Linked DNA regions of Xenopus tropicalis. The protein of the gene in region 2 purifies or fractionates together with the protein of the main gene of each other region. This does not show direct contact. Links are inferred from orthologs where the notes say so. Each region holds a gene or a part of one and is shown on either strand. Other genes may lie near its edges.

Region 1 (11,000 bases), on a different chromosome or scaffold from region 2:
TCAGGCTAATTCGATCGTTTGGCCCTGGGGCCAAACGATCGAATTATAATGACGGGTATAGGCAAAGTCGGTCCGTGGACCGCATCGGCTCGTTGATGCAGTCCCCGGACCGACTTTGCCTATACCCGTCATTATAATTCAATCGTTTGGCCCCAGGGCCAAACAATCAAATTTTTTAACTAGATTTTTTAACCTGCCCGATCGATATCTGGCCAATTTCAGGCCAGATATCGGTCGGGCAGGCCCATCGGTAGTGCCCATACATGGGCCGATTAGCTGCCGAATCAGTCTAAGGGAACGATATCGGCAGCTAGAATCGACCCGTGTATGGGGACCTTAACACTTCTCAGAGAATCATACACAGATGCTTTGTGAAAAAGTCAGTTGGACACAGTTGTGTTTACTCTGTTTACATCTCATCTCCCTCCTAAGAGAGGACAGTGGTTTCTTTCTGCTACAAAATGTCCCATATGACTTAATTATCTTCTCTGTAGGGTTTACCTGGACCACCTGGTGAGAAGGGAGAAACCGGAGACGTTGGTCAGATGGTAGGTACTTTAGATGTTCTTGATTGATATAATGAGCATCTAGTTGGTGGTTGCTGCTGTATTAGTTTGTATAATATCCATTTACTAAAACACTTATTTGTATCAAGTATGGAGCAGTGGTACCCAAAGTGAGGTGGTGGAGAGCAGTGCCTGAGTAGGTGCCCAGCTTGAAGCCAAATAGGAGAGAATTGAAGGAAATGCACCCCTAGATACTACTGGTGGCTCATATAGACGATCATCTAGTTTGGGGTGAACAGCGTTTGCTGTCCTAGATATTCCTGCTGTGTTTTCATGGATCTGCAACTTGGACCTGACTTGGACCTCTATGGAGGGGGGGGGGGGTTTAGCCTGAAAAAGCTACTAGTAGAGTAGAACCCCTCTTGTTGATTAATAATTAGACTAGATGAGACTAAATGAGTAATATAATTCAATAAATGTTGGAATAACGCTTGTTTTTTTCACATATCAACAAAACCATTTTAGGATAAAATGGCAACATCAGTTTAGGAGGAAGGAGATCTAAAGCCTACGTAGGGCCATGTAACCCAGTTATGTAATTGTGACATATTTAAGCCATCAAAATAAACACCACCTGAAGGATCTTCCCTCTGGCCGGCAACGCACATCGATATTTTAATGCCATTTAAGTACCCACTGAGGCATTACTTCCACTGTATAAATGTGTCACGCGGGCCTATTAAATCCAAATAAATGCGTCGCGCTCAGAGTGCACACACATTAAGAAGAAATGGATATTTTTTTTTTTCCCTGCTAATTTGGGTTAAAAAGGAATTAGATACAGACGCAGCAGAATTGCTCTATTAAAGTTCCATTGTGCTGATGTAAGGGGAAAAAAAAGTAATAGACAAGCAATTAAAAGATATTGTCCATCCAATTGCTTTACAATAGAAGTGATAGAGATTCATCATCAGGCAGGAAGGCTTTTATCTCCTGGTTTTTACTTTCCTACATATACCCATCCCAACCAGCCTTGGAAATATAATAAGGTGCAATGCAGTGACTAGGCAAGGCAGGGTGGAGAGTCAGGTCATGGCCATGGAGATCTGAGCACCATCCTCCCTTTCAATGAAAAAAGTCTAAACATTATTTATTCTAACAAGTATTTATAAAGTAACCCATGATTTCATGTTGTGGGTGAGGAGAAAAATTGCAGACCCCCATTTATATGAAGTAGACCCTCCCCTCCTACGTCTACAGGGTCTACATTCCGTTATACAGCCAGTGGTAGAACCAAAGAGAAAGGTTTAAACATAACATATTGAGATTAGATACCAATACATATATTATTGTACTATGAAACATTTGATTGGTTCCTTTTATATTTAGGGTCCTCCTGGTCCCCCTGGTCCTAGAGGTCCTTCTGGCTCCCCTGGAGCTGATGGCCCACAAGGTCCTCCTGGAGGAATTGGCAACCCTGGTCCTGTAGGAGAGAAGGTAGTGTATTTTTGCTTGTATCAATGGGCTTCAGCCATTAAGGCTGCGATTGGAAAGCTGCTACATGTAACCTTTCATTCTTTTCTAGGGTGACCCTGGAGAGTCTGGGGAACCTGGTCTTCCTGGTGAACTTGGACCACCGGTAAGACAACTCTATGGTACTACCATAGGGCACCACATACTCCATTGTAGCTATGTACGACTGAACTATGAATACCTTTTTCCACCCACCTCTATTGTACTGGTGTACAATTAAAGTATACAGAAGCCCCCACCCTTTAGATTCCCTAATCTTTCCCCAAAATGCCTACCTTGGGTGGGTGATATTGGGCTAATTTGATTGTTTGGCCCTAGACTGAGGACCACATCAATGAGCTGAAGCAGTCCCCGATCGAAACCTGGATGACATTTTGGACAGATATCGATCAGGGAGGCCCGTTGGGGGTACCCATACATGGGCAGATAAGCTCTCAAATTGGTCTAAAGGACTCTGCTCATTAATGGCCACCTTAATGAAGATCTTTGATACCCTTTATCAGCTGAGTATCTCTTCTTCTCTCTAGAAGAGCTTCTAGGCTGATAAAGGAAATAGATCTTCATTATGACAAAAGGCTGGACAAGCTAGGATTGTTTACACTGGAGAAGAAGCCACTTAAGGGGTGAGGGGGTGGGGAATGATTAAGGAATAGACCAAAAAAAGCTATGATACCCATGAACGTGTATATAAATGGATCTAGTGTATGCTTGCAGGTACACTGTTCGGCATTTGTTTACCACTATCAGTTATATGTTTATCATTTTGTTTGGTTTTATATGTCAATAGGGCCCTAAAGGTGAAAGAGGTGAAAAGGGAGAAGCGGGTCTTCAAGGAACTTCTGGCCCTCCAGGTCCTAAAGGTCCTCCAGGTGATGATGGTCCAAAAGGTAGCCCTGTAAGTACCTCTCTACTCCTATTTTCCTGTGACTTAATAGAGATACACTGGTGGTACTATTTGCTAAAACTTGCCCCATGCCTTATTAATGTAACTTGGAATCCTTATATTTTAGGGCCCAGTTGGATTTCCTGGTGATCCTGGTCCTCCTGGAGAATCTGGTCCTGCAGTAAGTATAAAGACCTACTTGTATGGTCGCCCAGGGATTTAGCATACACATCTCTATCTAGTTCTTCAGCCCAATCAATGACCTTATCAAACACTCTCTTTTTTTGATAAACTGATGAGTGGGCCCTTAAAAAGACTTTTTCTATTGCATTTGCAATGTTATTCTGGGGGATGGACTCTAGGAGATGACTTGTCTATTCCATACGGAGCTAATATTTACTTGGTAATGCTTGAAAGAATGAAAATGTGTGAAGATATGGTTAAATATTTCCTTTCATTCCACCTTCAGGGTCAAGATGGTCCACCTGGTGATAAGGGAGAGGACGGTGAATCTGGACAGCCAGTAAGTGTTGATTAGTTATCAGGTATTAGGTTTTGTGTTTAACCCTAGTGGACATATATGACTAGTTCTTTCTTTTGTTTCAAGGGGTCACCAGGTCCTACTGGAGAGCCTGGGCCTTCAGGACCACCTGGAAAGAGGGTATGTAACCCCTTATCTACTGTGTCACTGGCATATGGTAATAGTAGTCGCCTTCATAGGGTATTGTTCTGGAAGAATCTAGTGTGAGGGCATGGGCAAAGGTACAAAAGGGTATCTGAGCCTGGGGAAAAGCAGACCTATAAAGGGCAACTGTGACTATTATATAACAATCCTGAAAGAGAGCACTGGGAGATGGGGAACAGATATATCCAAGTGTTGGCAGTTAGCAGAAGATAAACAGAAGATGGAGAAGAGACTAATAACCTATACTGGAGATGCTATAAAAGAAGGAATGGAACACTGTGGAAGGGAGTAAAAAGTTAGCGAGAGATACTTCCAGAGCAGGGTAAATAGATGCTTTTTGGTAGTGGATGTGACAAGGTGCTAAATGCATCTAGGACCTATAAGGGCAGAGAGTACCCATACTGGAGAGACACAGGCAACTTAGGGAGGAGAAACAGTCAACCCATGGTGCAGAAAGGACGGAGGACTATCGAGCTGTATCCGTGTAGATGGGAAGGAATATACCAATGGTAGGGTAGGAGGAAGAGGAAAACACACTTTATTATACAGGTATGGGACCGCTTATCCGGAAACCCCTTATCCAGAAAGTTCCAAATTACGGAAAGGCCGTCTCCCTTAGACTCCATTATAAGCAAATAATTCTAATTTTTAAAAATGATTTCCCTTTTCTCTGTAATAATAAAACAGTACCTGTACTTGATCCCAACTAAGATATAATTACCCCTTATTGGGGCAGAACAGCCCTATTGGGTTTATTTAATGGTTAAATGATTCCCTTTTCTCTGTAATAATAAAACAGTACCTGTACTTGATCCCAACTAAGATATAATTACCCCTTATTGGGGGCAGAACAGCCCTATTGGGTTTATTTCATGGCTAAATGATTCCCTTTTCTCTGTAATAATAAAACAGTACCTGTATTTGATCCCAACTAAGATATAATTACCCCTTATTGGGGCAGAACAGCCCTATTGGGTTTATTTCATGGTTAAATGATTCCCTTTTCTCTGTAATAATAAAACAGTACCTGTACTTGATCCCAACTAAGATATAATTACCCCTTATTGGGGGCAGAACAGCCCTATTGGGTTTATTTAATGGTTAAATGATTCCCTTTTCTCTGTAATAATAAAACAGTACCTGTACTTGATCCCAACTAAGATATAATTACCCCTTATTGGGGGCAGAACAGCCCTATTGGGTTTATTCAGTATTTAAATGATTTTTAGCAGACTTAAGTTATGAAGATCCAAATTATGGATCCGGAAAACCCCAGGTCCCGAGCATTCTGGATAACAGGTCTCATACCTGTACTATTATTTAGTGTCAAAGATGAACTAAGCAGATCCCTGATGCCATCCAGAAGCCAAGTCAGTAGAGGCTCAGTAGGGGCTGAGAACATTCCTCCAATGACAAGTTTTCGCCACTTCATCTTCCAAGTGGTTCATTAATGCATTCCCGAGTATGTCTAATAGCTTGAACAAGCTCCTTGGTTGCATTCAAGAGTCCTCTCTTGCTTTTTGTTGTGGGGATGTTGGGAGAGGGATAATAGAATGTGTAGAGATAGGGCTTTCAATGTAAAACATCTACGTATTACTCTTCAAGCTCTTGATGTAGAACGTTATACGTAGCCCAGTCTTGTCTGACTAATTCCAAGAATGATGGGTTATACGCCAAGAAAAGACACAATTCTGTTGGCAATCTTATAAATAATCTTAGAAGGATAACAGTCTTGGCAATATACTGAGTCTCACCAAAGATGTTCTTCTTTAGGGTCCTCCTGGTCCAACAGGTCCTGAAGGACGTCAAGGAGAAAAAGGAGCAAAGGTAAAAAAACAAACAAAACAAAAGTGATTATACTTTATTACACTAAATACCTATAATATACAAAAGTGACTAATTTGACTACCTTTCATTGTAGGGTGAATCAGGTTTGGAAGGACCTCCTGGTAAGACTGGTCCTATTGGTCCCCAAGGACCTCCCGGAAAACCTGGACCTGAAGGCCTTCGAGGAATTCCAGGCCCTGTTGTGAGTAGCTCCCTGAAGTCTTATGACTGTCTAAGCTCAGATCCACAGTGTGTAAAGGGGTATGCTTAATTTGATCTGTTCTTTTGTAGGGTGAACAAGGTCTCCCTGGTTCACCTGGACCTGATGGCCCTCCCGGACCTATGGTAAGTGTACTAAGGTTCAAATATGTAACAGTTTTTGATGGCAGTAGAAGCTCTACCTGGTTTACTATGGGCAGAACATTATACTCTTCCCCCCAAGCTTAAACAGAAGCTCATTTTGTACAAATTCACCCAGATGGTCAAAGGTTGCTTCTAACCATCTTGATAACCAACTTCTTAACTGCAATAAAGTAAATCAAGGTGCCACTGTCTCATATAGTTATATAATACGTGAATATGCTGCAAATTACATCCTTGTATACAGTGCCTAGTAATGTCATTTGTGTCACATGACTCACTGAAACTTGTTTATAATAACAAATAATGTGCACCTTGTGCAGAACCCCTCAGTGATTTCTAATACCCTTATAATTTACAGTAGGGGGTACATTATCCCTTATAATACATGAGTGATACTCAGAGTTACCTGTATAACTCAGCCTGCAGCCTTGTGCCTTTATATGGGGGGCACAGAACCCCTCAGTGACTGCTAATATCCTTATAATTTACAGTAGGGGGTACATTATCCCTTATAATACATGAGTGATACTCAGAGTTCCCTGTATAACTCAGCCTGCAGCCTTGTGCCTTTATATGGGCACAGAACCCCTCAGTGACTGCTAATATCCTTATCATTTACAGTAGGGGGTACATTATCCCTTATAATACATGAGTGATACTCAGAGTTCCCTGTATAACTCAGCCTGCAGCCTTGTGCCTTTATATGGGCACAGAACCCCCCAGTGACTGCTAATATCCTTATCATTTACAGTAGGGGGTACATTATCCCTTATAATACATGAGTGATACTCAGAGTTCCCTGTATAACTCAGCCTGCAGCCTTGTGCCTTTATATGGGGGGCACAGAACCCCTCAGTGACTGCTAATATCCTTATCATTTACAGTAGGGGGTACATTATCCCTTATAATACGCGAGTGATACTCAGAGTTCCCTGAACATTTTTCTGTATATTTTCTTCCTTATTTGTCAAAGACAATACAGTACTCTTAAGTAAGTGCTAATGGTGGCATTGACTCATAGCTCCACTGAGATGGAGATACCAAAGGGAAACCCCACTACCCGCTGTACTAGTCTATAAATTGCTGGTACATACACACCAACAAACTACAACATCAGTAAGAACCATCAACAGCTCTCTAACGCTCCTAAAGTGATCATTTTACTGTACTCCCCCCCTCGATATTGAAAACCATAGAGTCCTCCTACCTCAGGACACACTTCTTTAATGGGGACTATTCCCTCCCAAGGCTTTGGACACATCTAAACCCTCCTCCATGAGCAGAATCCAAGAATATGGCTCCTCCCCTCCCTCCAGTAGATATTGAACCCATGTTTACATTAAGACCAGCCCTCTTCTCACTAAGGGTCATTAATACTTCATGGGACTAAATGCCATATCAATGGCTACTCATTAATCCCCTACAATGATGTTCTTTCTTTGCACTTATCATTAAAGTCTTGAGCAAATTTCCTATTCTGAGCTAATGTCATGTATTTATTGCAGGGTCCACCAGGTATACCAGGTCTGAAAGGAGACTCAGGTCCAAAAGGAGAAAAGGTATGTGCCTCACACTTGGCTTTCTCGCTGAGTAGGCCACACTTTGTAAATACTGTATTCTTAATCCACCACTGTCTCTAACACTAGGACACATGTTTCTTGTGGGTTCTTGTAAGTTGAAGATGATGGTACAACCACCTGGTGAAACTAAATAAGAAGTGTAGATACAAAGGCAGAACCTACTCCATGTTTGACTTTAAGGTCTACGTTTGGTAGGCATCTCATAAAACCATCTCATAAAGCCATTTCTTTGTTACTGTAGGGTCATCCAGGCTTGATAGGTCTCATTGGACCTCCTGGTGAAACTAAATAGGAAGTGTAGATACAAAGGCAGAACCTACTCCATGTTTGACTTTGAGGTCTACGTTTGGTAGGCATCTCATAAAACCATCTCATAAAGCCGTTTCTTTGTTACTGTAGGGTCATCCAAGCTTGATAGGTCTCATTGGACCTCCTGGTGAAACTCAATAGGAAGTGTAGATACAAAGGCAGAACCTACTCCATGTTTGACTTTGAGGTCTGCTCTTGGTAGGCATCTCATAAAACCATCTCATAAAGCTGTTTCTTTGTTACTGTAGGGTCATCCAGGCTTGATAGGTCTCATTGGACCTCCTGGTGAACAGGGAGAAAAGGGAGACCGTGGTTTGCCAGGCCCCCAGGGACCACATGGTGCTAAAGGAGAACAGGTTTGTATATTTTCTAGCCATAAAGAGACTTCTTTGAATGATGGAGAACACCAAAGTCCCAATTTTGAAGTCACTTGTCTGTAGTAAATATGTCCCAGGTTGATTAAAAATTGCCCGAGATGTTCAATGGCCATGTACAGGGGTCTTACCACAAGTTCCGGTATTTCTCACTGTTGTTCCTGGGGACACGATAATCATCCAGAGTGTGTTCCAGCCCTACTTAGTATTCATCAAAATGCTGTGTGTGCCATGGTCCTTAAATGTCACATCAAACACAAGGATAAAAGTAAAAAAAACACCCAACTTTTTATGCATTTACCATGGCAACGGTATTTTTAACCACGTACTTCTACCAGCCCGTCAACCGAGTATTTAGAGAATATCTTGCATTTCTAAAGAAAGTATTTCTGTTTAGTTTGAATGATAATGATGTTGCTATGATCACTTTCAGGGTATTCTTGGTCCATCTGGTCCTGTTGGTCCACCTGGTCCTCCAGGCTTACCGGTAAGTATTTCCTTGCACCACTCCATAACTGACCCAAGATTTTGGTTACTAAACAACAATATAGTACCTTGCAGAGCAGACAAAGTAGAAGAACTGCCTTTTGTAGTTACTGAGAGTTAGGCTCATACATAGGAAGTTGCTTTGAATATTGAAGACCTTTTTCTATTCGATTGCAGGGTGGTCCTGGTCCAAAAGGTGCTAAAGGTTCATCGGTAAGTGAAGACGGGTTGAGATGCAGATATCAAATGAGAAATGATACTTCATTATATGACTTTATGAACTTTAATGTTGTTATGCTTTGTTTTCAGGGTCCAACTGGTCCAAAGGGTGAATCTGGAATCCCTGGTCCACCAGGTCCTCCAGTAAGTAAGAAAACCACATAAAAATGTAGTAGTTGATCGAAATGTTATCTTGTGGCCCGAGATATGTTTTTGATGAGCCGAATATACGAAAGATGATTGATACAGCCCTTAACGATTTTCTATTGATGATTTCTATTCTAGGGACCTCCAGGCGAGGTGATCCAGCCTCTGCCTATCCATTCCTCAAAGAGGACAAGACGTAGCATTGATGCAAGTCAAGTAGTGGACGATGGAAATGCAGACAACTACATGGACTATGCCGATGGAATGGAGGAAATATTTGGTTCTCTCAACTCCCTAAAACAGGAAATTGAACAAATGAAACACCCACTGGGCAATCAGCAGAACCCAGCAAGGACTTGCAAGGACCTGCTTCTGTGCCATCCTGAACTCCCAGATGGTGAGTTAGAAATAAATGGGCAAGTATTATAGAGTTGATGGTCAACCATCTGGTCAAGGGATGCTACATGAACAGTCTCGGGGAATGGTGCTTGATGTGTTCCATGACAAGTCTCTTTGGTGAAGGTCTGGGCAAAGCTCAAATCTCCTGTGTTCTAAATAGGCACAAGATTGAACATGACTAGTTATGAAGAGAAAGCAGAGGAGGCAGGGCAAGCCTGCAATCTAAAGAGGCTTACATTAGAAAGGCAAAATCTGTCAAAGCTAAAGAACATTGCAGAATCTAGATCAGGGAAAAGGGAAATGAGAAATTGAAGTTTTCTATCAACATTACAGTGTGGGATGGTGAAAAGTCAAGGCAAAGTCAAATACAGCTTAGGGGCAATGAGGTTTTCCTTAGTGTGGGTGTATGATTGCTTTATTAATAGTGAGGAGGTGACAGGAGGGTTCATCAGGATCACCATAGTAGAACGATGGTGTCTCTCGGGACAAGAAATAGCTGGAAGCCAGCAAAGATGAAAGAGAGGGGTCACATAGAACATAATTAGTGTGATACGGCCAACATTATGTATTCAATCACTGATACTTGCTCAAGTCAAGTGAAAGTGAGAGAGTTTGGAGGTCATTCTAGGAGACGCAAATGGGGGGGGGGGGCAGTAGTCATACTCATGGAATATGAAGGATTTGGAATACTATTAAGAGCAAGTTGGAAAGAGAAGGGAAGCACTTATATTTGCAACAAGAGCAGAAGGTGTTTCCTTTTCTAAATACCTTTTAGCTTCAACTATGTTTGAGGCCAAAACTATTTATCAAGAGAGGAACAAATCCATAGACGGTAACCTTAAGAGCCCTGGCTTCAATGGAATAATGTGTCTCTCCTTTACTCTTTAACTCCAGGGGAATATTGGATTGACCCAAATCAAGGATGCTCTAGAGACTCGTTCAAGGTTTTCTGTAATTTCACAGCCGGTGGAGAATCTTGTATCTTCCCCGACAAGAAGTCTGAAGGAGTAAGTGTTGGCGTTTCACCCCCTATCAATAACAGGATCACGGCTCAGTATTTTGGCGTCACTTTTGTTATAAAGTAAATGCTATGAAATGAAAACAGTAAGATAGTGGATGGTTAGAATCAGTAATAAGAATAGATAATTCTAGTGCTCAAGGCTTTGACTGGCCAAACATAAGTTCCTTTTAGCTGCCAACTCCCCATTAATGAATCAAGTGGGTATGACTATGAAGGTTTTCATTCATCTAGGTCAGGGGTCCCCAACCTTTCTTACTCGTGAGCCACAGTCAAATGTAAAAAGACTTGGAGAGCAACATAAGCATCATACAAGTTCATGGAGGTGCCAAATAAGGGCTGTGATTGGCTATTAGACAGCCTGCATGCACACTATCAACTTACAGGAGGCTTTATTTGGTAGTAAATCTTGGCCAAAACTTGCCACCAAGTCAGGAATTCAAAAATAACTCCCTGGTTTGGTGGCACTGAGAGCAACATCCACGGGGTTGGTGAGCAACATGTTGCCCCCGAGCCATTGGTTGGGGATCACTGATCTAGGTCATGGTATATCTAGTATAAGTGAAACTAGAGCAACTGGACTTAATAATCATTGAAGACATTTCACTTTTATCTGAGAAGCTCCTTCAGTTCAACTAACTGGTATATAAACTCTTTACGGTGGTGCATTG
Region 2 (10,857 bases):
AGATAAGAACCTGTGGAAGCTTTGAAATGATTTTTCAAAATTGAGGATAGTTGTTTGGGTTGGTATAATTCCCTTTTAATATGCCCAGAGCTTAAAGTTCTCCAATCAATAAGAGTGATAATGATTCAGTACTGCGAATTAAATTTCATGTTACAATTTTAGCTCTTGTGAGCAGGCCTTTTTGATCCTATTTTTATTCTGTAATACTTTACAGAAGCATATAGTTGGTTCAGTTATGGTTAGACCCCTGTTTGTTAAAAATGAATGTAAAGAACTGCGTAACTTTATGGGGCTATATAAATTAATGATGATGATGATGATGATGATGAAAAAGTAGAATATAGTCTTAAAATGACAGGAATAAATATCGCAATGAGAAGCCCAAGCAAGCAAATTTATTAACCTGTCAATATGCAGCATATATTTAATATAATTTTCATTTACTTGAGATTTAATGTTGATAAATGTAAGGTCATGCACCTGGGATGTAAAAATAAGCAAGCCATACCTTAAATGGGACTGCACTAGGCAAATCCATAATGGAGAAGGACCTTGGAGTCCTTGTAGATAATAAACTTGACTGTAATAAGCAATGCCAGGCAGCAGCTGCAAGGGCAAACAAGGTTTTGAGCTGTATAGAGGGGGTTATTTTTCCACTTTTCCATACCACTTTACTAACTAAGCTGGTAAAAGATATGGGAGGTCTCATTTAAGAAGAAAGACTGCCCGGGTTGGGATTGTTTATTCTGGAGAAGAGGTGCTTAAGAGGTGATATGCTAACTATGTTTAAATATATAAGGGAATCATATAATAATCTCTCTAATGCTATATTTACCAATAGGTCCTTCCAGCGAACACGAGGGCACCCACTCCGATTACAAGAAAGGAAGTTCCATCTGAATACTCAGAATTTGTTTTTTACGGTGAGAACTGTGAAGTTGTGGAATTCTCTCCTGAAATGAGTCGTGCTTGCTGATACATTAGATAGCTTCAAGAAGGGGTTGGATGGCTTTTTAGCAAGTGAGGAATACAGGGTTATGGAAGATCATCATATCAACATATCATATCAGATGATCCAGGGACTGGTCCGATTGCCATCTTGGAGTCAGGGAGGAATTTAGAGAGGCTTCAGAAGGGGTTTTTGCCAGCGTCTGGATCAACTAGCACTTAGGCAGGTTATATATAGGTATAAAAGGTTGAGCTTGAAGGACGTGTCTTTTTTTACCCTAACTTACTATGTTATTTTGCAAGGCTTATTAAATCAGATTCACATTATGCACCAAATAGAACAGTTAGAAAACCAACATTTTTAATATTCACTTTCAGTGGATAATCATAGGCTAACAACTGACAATATTTTTTTTCTTGAGACTGAGCGAGGCACGGGTCAAAGAACCTTAGAGCCATGATGCTACAAAGCAGGACCTGTAGGCTGCTAGTTGAAGGATTATGGGAACAACATGTCTAGTCCCATGTCAAATTTCAAAATTTAATATAAAAAAAATCTGTTTGCTCTTTTAAAAAAATGGATTTCAGTGCAAAGTTCTGCTAAAGCAACACTATTAACTGGTGCATTTTAAAAAAATTTTCCTGTGACAAAATCCCTTTAATCCCAGTCAGGGCACTATCTGGAAGGAGATATTCTTATGTCTGCATGGGTTTCCTCTGGGTACTCTGGTTTCCTCCCACACTCCAAAAACATACAGACTTTTAAAACATACAGACCTTTACTTTTAAATAAATTGACCAAAGTGTGTGAATGTTAGAGGGACCTTAGATTGTAAGCTTCTCTGTGGCAGTGAGTGATGTATAATCACTGTAAAGCACTGTGAAAATGTGTTTGGCTATATCAATTACATAAATAAACTAGAAAGGGACGTTTGAGTAACTACAACTTAGGCTCTGTGCAAAGTAATTGAAAGAATGGACGCCAGAATGTTCTTTGCAGTGAAAACATAAACCAACTTGTTTATTGTCCAAGACAATTAGTGCACAGGGTTGTAGAAATACTCAGAGGAGATAGCAGTTTAACACTCTGAGGATGGAAAGAGAGGATGTCTACCAGTTTATCCCACCTAATGAGTCTGGGCAGGGTAAAGACACCTGACAGCACAGCACCACTATGGAGGGCAGTCTGGACAGATACCTCAGGTCCTCAGGACCTTAGCTGTTAAGGATCCCAACAGCCGACTATGGATCAGGGATTAGAACTAAACTGAATCCTGCAAATTAACTGTGGCCAGAAACTGCTCTTTCTACCTAATCTTTATGCTAACTTTCCTAGAAAGTGATCCTAGTATGTCTACTATCTACCTATTCCTCGTTCACGGGGTCCCTGTTCCCCAACTTTCTCTAAAGTAGGATGTTTCTCTAGGTTATAATGGCTTACTTTGGCCCTGTGGATCCCAGGCTTAGTGAAACCTCTACCTGAGTCCAGGCCTGGATTTGTGGCGAGGCCACAAAGTCCTGGTCCTAGGGCAGCACAAATGTAGCCGCCCAAGCCGACCTGAAATTTTGCTCACATACGGAGCGATGGAGACCACTGCTCTGTATGTGAGTTTGAATGTGTGGGGGGGGGTTGGTGTTGTTGCGCCTGCGCGTGCTGGGGTGGGTGCAAATGGGGAAGGCCTCAGGGAGCCTCAATAGCAAATCCGGCGGTGCCTGAGTCAACAGATGCAGCCAAAGAGGGGGATCCACCCCTTTGCTAAACACTATATTAGAGTGCAAAGGGAGTGATCTACCTATGAACCAATAAGGCACAGAATGCAAATGGTAAACTAGATACATAGGTCTTTGCCCAGTAACAGAATAAAGAAGGAAATAATAGGGTTTAAAGCCTATGGGTCCCTACAGTATGTTGGGTTTTTCTAACCAACATAATATAAATAAATATTGTACTGTATGTTGCTTCAAATAGCAACTCTTGAAAAACTGAGACTTCCTCTGCCTGCTTTATTGGTTTTTTACACTTCAATACCAATACGTTTTACAAGCATTTAAAATAATAAACGTTGGGAAGGATAGGGCAATTATTGGAGCAGGGTATAATAGATTTTTTTAGATGTTTGTGTTACTTTTCCTTTAAAATGCCTGGGAATTCCATACCACTCAGAAAAGTCCAGCTGCTTTAAATTTAATTCTACTAGATGCTGTATATCATGACCTATCTCAGTGACAATTTTTTTCCAAAAATAATGTTAATGCATTAACTAAAATTCCCTTCTTTTTGCTTTGTGTACAAAAATCAGACACTTTGAATATTTTTATTTTTATTTTATAATTAAAATTAGTTTTTGTTATCAAAATATTGTACAGATTTTCATTTGGAATATGGATAAAAATACAGCTGTGTGAACAAAATAACAGCACACAATAGCTGATAACGTTTACACTGTTCTTTCTCACTGCAGTTTGGTGAACAAGGAGAATTTAACAAAACAACAAAAATTTCAAAAGCAGTTACAGCAAAAGGGCCATATCATCAAAAATCCATAATGTTACAATTATGTATAGGCAGCCGGTGCCTATATACAAATGGGTTAGTGGATGATTCATTAAGGAAAAGGATTAAGCAGCATGTTCCTTCCCTGGTTATTGAACATTAAACTAATCCAAAAACGTATGGCAGTGCTGCTTACTATAATACAAAACATTTTAAGCTGAAGTTAATATAGTTAATTGGAGCAAGTGAAAAATTCTAGCGGAATGTACAAATTCTTAATATTGCAGTGTTTGAGTGTTACTGTAGCATATCTTCCTAAGCTCCTCAGATACCAGTACCAGACTGGTCCATTATAATACTTTATTATGCTATAACAAAAAAAGCCATACAAGTATGAAAGGTCATGTTAAGGAATACAGCGTAGCTAAATGAATACATTTCAGCAGCGTAGCCAGTCATTTTTGACATTTCCAACCTTTACAATCTTCACACTTTTGTCTTCAACTTGAAAGTAATACCAGTCTTTGAAAAAGTAGCTGTACCCTGTGAAATGAAAAGAATATATATTACAAATGCATGACAGTTCTAAATACGTACATTCAGTTCTTTACACTTGTGTGTATACTTTTACCATATATACTCGAGTATAAGCCGAGTTTTTCAGCACCCAAAATGTGCTGGAAAAGTAACCCTCTGTTTATACTCGAGTCCCTCCAACTAACACCCTCTGCTACATGATTCCCTGTGTGCTCCGCTGCTTCCTGGTTCCTTGCCCCGCCCCCCAGCGTGACATCACATGCTCCCTGCTCTCAGCTCCGGTGTCTGTGTCTGAGGGGGAGGGAGAGCCTTTACAAGCAGGCAGGAATGGAACTGTTTGAAGCAGGCAGGCAACGGAACATCAAGCCTGCATGCTATTGAGTTGAGGAGGGAGGGAGAGGGAGGGAGCTCCTTAAAGTAAACCTCAAGCTGAATCCTCTCAGTTTATAATGTGCTCCTTTTGATAGACAGGTTGTGGAACAAGGCATTAATGAGTGATTACTTCTCCAGGTGACCCTGCTAGAGGAGGCAGTAGGAGGGAGCCTGGCATCTCGCATACTCATTCCCTGCACGTATTTGTTCAGTAAGATTGATAAATCCTAATTTTATTGGAATTTATGTTGATTATTGAAACTTAGAAGCTGCTGCATTTCCCATCCTAGGCTTATACTCGAGTCAATAGGTTTTTCCAATTTTCTTAGGTAAAATTAGGTACCTCGGCTTATACTCGAGTATATACAGTATTTATACAATGCTACTTATGTATGCAGCACTGTACAGCAGAACATTACATAAATAGAACAGTTAGAAAACCAACATTTTTCATATTCACTTTCAGTGGATAATCATAGGCTAACAACTGACAATATTTTTTCAAGTGCGAGCTGTGTGAGCTCTAATTTCGCAGTTTGATAAATCAACCCCTAACTGTTAAACACACATATTTCGTTTTTTTGTGGTGGGACATTAACTGCCATGGGTATCCACACAACAAAATATAAATAATAAAAAAATGATTTATACCAGAAACGTATTTTATTTTAGGGAAAAAAATTCAACTGATTTGGAAAACCTCATGTCTCCCAAACGTGCCAATACCAGATATGTATAGTTTTATGGATATTTCTGACTTCTATAGATCAAAAACTCCCAGCAGTAAATTACCACATTTTCAAAGCATTACAGCAGAATACGGCATACTTTAGATTCCAAAACCAAAAATACTGGAACTTTAGGTTTACCCCAGGAAACCATATATTTTTGAAAAGTACACATTCTGCCGAATCAGAAATGGGTAACTATGTCTTTCAACTCCTAAGTACCAAACAACAATGCTTTCCTGAATTTAGCAATTTCTATAAAAAAATTATGAAAATTCTAAAAAATCGCCTCAAAGCTTCCACTTTCAAGCATCGTATCTCCCACATAACATTAGGTACCAAGAGAAAATATCCTAAATATGAAAGCCAAGGGTCCACAGAACAGTTTGATGCCCATTGTGCATAGGATCATTAAAGTATTTGGAATTTAGAGACCCCAAAAGGAAGCTAGTGCATACAAATTGCCCCTGAGATCTCTTTAGCTACTGAAGGGGCCCCTCGGCAATCGCGCCCCAGGCACTTAAAGGGGCACTTAAAGGGTTAATACATTTTTAATATGTTTGACCCAGGCAGTGTTTTTTTGTTTTTCTTTTTCCCTAATGGTGTCAAGGGGAATTTTTGTTCCTATATTAGGCAAGTGGGAAACAGATTCAGATTTTTTTTGCATGACTGAATCAATTAGAAGTAGCAAGGTGTTTTACCATGTTAGGCATAGATCGAAAACAAAAACCATATAGAGTAGGTAATACCTTTTTTCTGATTTAGTGGATTATAAAAACCTTGCTTTGGTGACTAAGTAACCAATAAAAGTAAAAGGGGTCTTGCTTAAAAACAAGTTTAAATATAAAAAGTACCCAAAACCTGACCAACAATTAAACTCTTAAGGTGGCCATACACGTTTCGAAACGAGGTTTTGTACGATATAATCTGTGCGTGTATGGCCATATTTAATTTTAATTTTTATTTGGTTGTATGTGCAAAAAATATATTTTCTGTACACTTTTAAAACTGTGTTCAAAAATTATATTTCATGCAGATTTTTTGTGTGCTAGGTGTCTAGGTCAGAATAAGTGCTAAAATATGTGTTCTCATACAACATTCTTTGTGCACATCATAGTTTTTAACCACAACATTTGTGTGCAATAAGTGCATGGGAGCAAGGCTTGGAACGGACATTATTGACTGGCTAAGATTAAATATCAAATTGGAAGTACTATGTTTAAAAAATACTAATGGAACATATTGCACCAATTTTTCCACCTCAATAAAGTGTTATAAAGAAATAAAGTGCTTACCACTTCCGGTTTGATCCAGCACAGCATCTAAATTATCTGGTACACCATTCCATGCATCTGCAATTAATTTGGGGAAACCAATGTCCATTTTCTTTTTTACTTCATTATATCTAAAAGAACATATGTAAGATAATAAGAATTCACAGTCTCAACAAAATGTTATTTTACAAGTCAATTTGTATTGAATGTACAAAGTAACAAATAAGTCCTTATGCAGCGTCTTTCGTAATTAATAAGTGCTCCTTAAGAGATTACAGACCCCAAGCTGGCTGTAAACAATTATTCAGGTGTGCCTGAAGAAGGCTGTTAAGCCGAAACATGTAGTGCTACGATGTTTCCACAAATAAACAAAACTGTTATAAAGCATAAAGATATGATGTGCTCTCAGGGTCATTGGTCTACGCATTTCTAATTGTACTGAATGTATATTGCCCTTTAATGTAAAGTATATACTAAGGATGCACTGAATGTAGGATTCGGTTCAGGATTTGGCCAAGATTCGTCCTTTTTCAGCAAGATTAGGATTCAAACTAATCCACGCCTGGCCAAACTGAATTAAAATCCTTAAAATCACTAAACTTTTTGTCACATAAACATGTAAGTTGAAAATTTTAACCCTTACGTATCCTAATTTATATATGCAAATTAGGATTTGGTTTGGTTTTCGACCGAATCTTTTACAAAGGATTCGGGGTTTGCCCGAGTCTGAAACTAGTGGATTCGGTGCATCCCTAGTACATGCAGGCATGGGATCCATTATCAGTAAACCCGTTATCCTGAAGCTCCAAATTACAGCATGGCCATCTCACATAGACTCCAATTTGATAAAAAATAAATATTTTTTTTTTAATTATTTCCTTTTTTCTCTGTATTAATAAAACAGTATTTTGCACTTGATCTTAACTAAGATAGAGACATAGCAAGGAGATTGCAGATATACGGTGGGTTAAGGGCTCTGGCACACGGGGAGATTAGTCGCCAGCGACAAATCTCCCTTGTCACGGGCGACTAATCTCCCCGAACTACCATCCCACCGGTGAACATGTAAGTCGCCGGTGGGATGGTACACGCTGCACAGGCGATTTCGGCAAATCGCCAAAGTTGCCTCGCAAGGCAACTTCGGCAATTTGCCGAAATCGCGCCGCCGCGTGTGCCATCCCACCGGCGACTTACATGTTCACCGGTGGGATGGCAGGTGATGGCAACTCGGGGAGATTAATCGCCCGCGAACAGGGAGTTTTGTCGCGGGCGACTAATCTTCCCGTGTGCCAGAGCCCTAATAGCTATTTGAGTCAAGGTTTGTTTAGTTGTGCTGCCTGTTGATTAGATTATTCTGTAACAGCATTGCTAGGGTTAAGACTTGTTAATAATTGGTAATGAATCAGAAGTAAAACTCAAAAGCAGGAAAATAAGATACGTACATACACATATATGAAACTAACTGCAGATTATGAGACTTTTGTAGCTATGAGTATTTGGCTTGTCCAAAAAGTCTACTCTTACAGGTATTAATGGATTCAGCTATCAAAACATTACATGATTTCATAACCTCACTGCCCTCACTGTGAAAAACCATTTCTATTGTTTCAAATAAAAGTTTCTTCTTAAAGTCATACAATATGGCTTTTATTTATTTGGTCTTTCCTATGAGAAAAAATAAATACCCTACTATCTGTCTATAATAAATTTATAATGAGTATTCATGTCCCCTGACAATTGCTTTGTATGCAGAAAAAAACAACCTCAAAGTTACAGATATAGGAGTTGCAGATTGTTGATTATTTCTACATGTTGCCAGTTTTTTTCCTTCAGAAAAATTTTATTGATCCAATGGATTGAACATCACATTATTCTGGGGAAGTGCAAAAACTTTGGCTGAAAACTCATTTACAAGCCAAATCAGGTAGTGGTCAGCCTATTTTTCTTTTGCTTTTTCTTTTTTATTGCAAAGCAAAAATATGGTACACATTGAGGAATATTTATTAAAGAATGAACTTTCACTTTCACTTATTGATAAATCCTTTAAAAATAAATAGAGAGGGACAGAATTTCACTATAGTGGACTGTGGTAAGCTCTAACTTCACTCTTTGATAAATATACCCCATTGTATTTGTGCAAACTTACCTCCAGAACTTGTCCCCAGTAAAGAAGTATGTCTTTTTGTTTTTGCTCCAGTTGAATGCAGCATCAACACGATCAACATCAGGAGGTAGTCCTAAACTGGTCAACTTTTTCGGGTATCCTCTTTCCAAAGTGCTTGATAAGTAGACCCAATACTCATTACCTGGAGACAATATAAAACAGTTAATACTTTAATTAAAACCAAGCAAGGAAAACATTTTGTGGTTAAAATGTTTAACAAGTGACAATTACTGAGTGACAAGTTACTGAAATCAGAGGCCAGTGGGACAGCGAGAAAGTCGTTTTGTCTCCAATATATCATATATATATATATATATATCATATATATATATATATATATAGAAAAAGGCTGAGGCACACACTTATAGGGAAAACAACCTGGGTGCAAATCAGATAAACAATGTAAATATGTAAAAAATGCTGATGCACACCAGGAAAATTTTATCAAAAAAAAGATACTTAGTTTATTTAGATCGACGTTTCGGTCCTCACCTCTCCCGGGTGAGGACCGAAACGTCGATCTAAATAAACTAAGTATCTTTTTTTTGATAAAATTTTCCTGGTGTGCATCAGCATTTTTTACATATATATATTATATTATATTATAATATATATATATGTAACCCTATTTTGGCTACTGTTGTACTTTAAACACGCAATCACCTGCGTGTGGCGCTACAGGAGCCCTGAGCCCCCGCTTATTTATTTATGGGGGACAGGTATGATATAAATGAATGGCGTGCCTCCACCCAGGGTAGGTATAGGTAGAACTATATGTCTCCTCCCTGGGAAATTTCTATGAGGTCCTCCTTGGACCCAGACTCCCGGTCCTCCTTGGACCCGGACTCCCAGCAACTCCCGGTACCTTGCCCCTCCCTTGGGGTAGCTGCTTACCAGGCAGTTGAGGATCCTCAGTATATGAACAGCCAAGACACCGGTTAAAATGGTGAACCAGATGAACTTGTTTATTGTTGATGCAGGCAGAACACTTCAGAGGATGTCACACAGACGGCTCAAGTCACACACTCTCTCTTTGGGCTACCCCCGGTACTCCCGCCGGATGATTCCACCTAGGAACTCACCCCGGTCCACGCATAGGGCCCCTTCACTGGGAACACTCCCAGGTGCTGACTTGGCTCCTCTTACTACACACTACAGGACCTGAACTCCAGCCATGAGTGCTGGGGGGTCTTAACCCCTCACTCTCCTGTTGGGGCTTTCTCTGCCCGTTCTCTCTAGCCTGCCTGTCACTCCTAGAGTGACCTGTTACAGTACCGCCTGTACTAGAACACTAGCCTGTTGTTGACCTCCTTACAGAGGGGTCCCAGGCATAAAGACCTGCTGAACATGGGAGTAATTTTCTTTTATACTTTTAGCACAGCGACATCTAGTGGTTGCTGTTAACTTGCAGGGAAACTCCCTTTTCACACATAAACAGCTAGGACCACCTTTAGGTATCCAAATCTCATAAGGCCACCCTCATGGTGCCTGTCTTAAGGGAACTAATCCTGAAGGGGCCCAATTCTTTGGGGTCCCTACATATATATATATATATATATATATATATATATATATATATATATATATACATACAGTGGCTTGCAAAAGTATTCGGCCCCCTTGAACTTTTCCACATTTTGTCACATTACAGCCACAAACATGAATCAATTTTATTGGAATTCCACGTGAAAGACCAATACAAAGTTGTGTACACGTGAGAAGTAGAACAAAAATCATACATGATTTCAAACATTTTTTACAAATAAATAACTGCAAAGTGGGGTGTGCGTAATTATTCAGCCCCCTTTGGTCTGAGTGCAGTCAGTTGCCCATAGACATTGCCTGATGAGTGCTAATGACTAAATAGAGTGCACCTGTGTGTAATCTAATGTCAGTACAAATACAGCTGCTCTGTGACGGCCTCAGAGGTTGTCTAAGAGAATATTGGGAGCAACAACACCATGAAGTCCAAAGAACACACCAGACAGGTCAGGGATAAAGTTATTGAGAAATTTAAAGCAGGCTTAGGCTACAAAAAGATTTCCAAAGCCTTGAACATCCCACGGAGCACTGTTCAAGCGATCATTCAGAAATGGAAGGAGTATGGCAGAACTGTAAACCTACCAAGACAAGGCCGTCCACCTAAACTCACAGGCCGAACAAGGAGAGCGCTGATCAGAGATCTACAGCTCAGGTGGGGGAATCTGTCCATAGGACAACTATTAGTCGTGCACTGCACAAAGTTGGCCTTTATGGAAGAGTGGCAAGAAGAAAGCCATTGTTAACAGAAAACCATAAGAAGTCCCGTTTGCAGTTTGCCACAAGCCATGTGGGGGGACA

Evidence for each region.
Region 1: the proteins of mmp2 (region 2) and col5a1 purify together in Homo sapiens (co-immunoprecipitation; 3 studies listed by BioGRID and IntAct, counting the BioPlex papers as one, with this or other methods). This does not show direct contact. The link is inferred for Xenopus tropicalis from reciprocal best matches to the Homo sapiens genes MMP2 and COL5A1.

Annotation. Positions count from the first base shown.
Region 1 is NC_030684.2:7,556,915-7,567,914, reverse strand, and holds part of col5a1 (collagen alpha-1(V) chain), read left to right. Parts: intron 1-494; coding exon 495-548; intron 549-1,895; coding exon 1,896-2,003; intron 2,004-2,091; coding exon 2,092-2,145; intron 2,146-2,826; coding exon 2,827-2,934; intron 2,935-3,049; coding exon 3,050-3,103; intron 3,104-3,391; coding exon 3,392-3,445; intron 3,446-3,529; coding exon 3,530-3,583; intron 3,584-5,380; coding exon 5,381-5,434; intron 5,435-5,528; coding exon 5,529-5,636; intron 5,637-5,725; coding exon 5,726-5,779; intron 5,780-7,302; coding exon 7,303-7,356; intron 7,357-7,618; coding exon of another isoform or gene 7,619-7,669; exon of another isoform or gene 7,670-7,684; intron 7,685-7,934; coding exon 7,935-8,042; intron 8,043-8,493; coding exon 8,494-8,547; intron 8,548-8,723; coding exon 8,724-8,759; intron 8,760-8,855; coding exon 8,856-8,909; intron 8,910-9,050; coding exon 9,051-9,309; intron 9,310-10,205; coding exon 10,206-10,318; intron 10,319-11,000. UniProt on the Homo sapiens protein: Type V collagen is a member of group I collagen (fibrillar forming collagen). It is a minor connective tissue component of nearly ubiquitous distribution. Type V collagen binds to DNA, heparan sulfate, thrombospondin, heparin, and insulin.
Region 2 is NC_030680.2:42,725,077-42,735,933, reverse strand, and holds the end of mmp2 (72 kDa type IV collagenase precursor), read right to left. Parts: intron 8,660-10,857; coding exon 8,500-8,659; intron 6,485-8,499; coding exon 6,375-6,484; intron 3,986-6,374; coding exon 3,882-3,985; 3' UTR 3,257-3,881; downstream 1-3,256.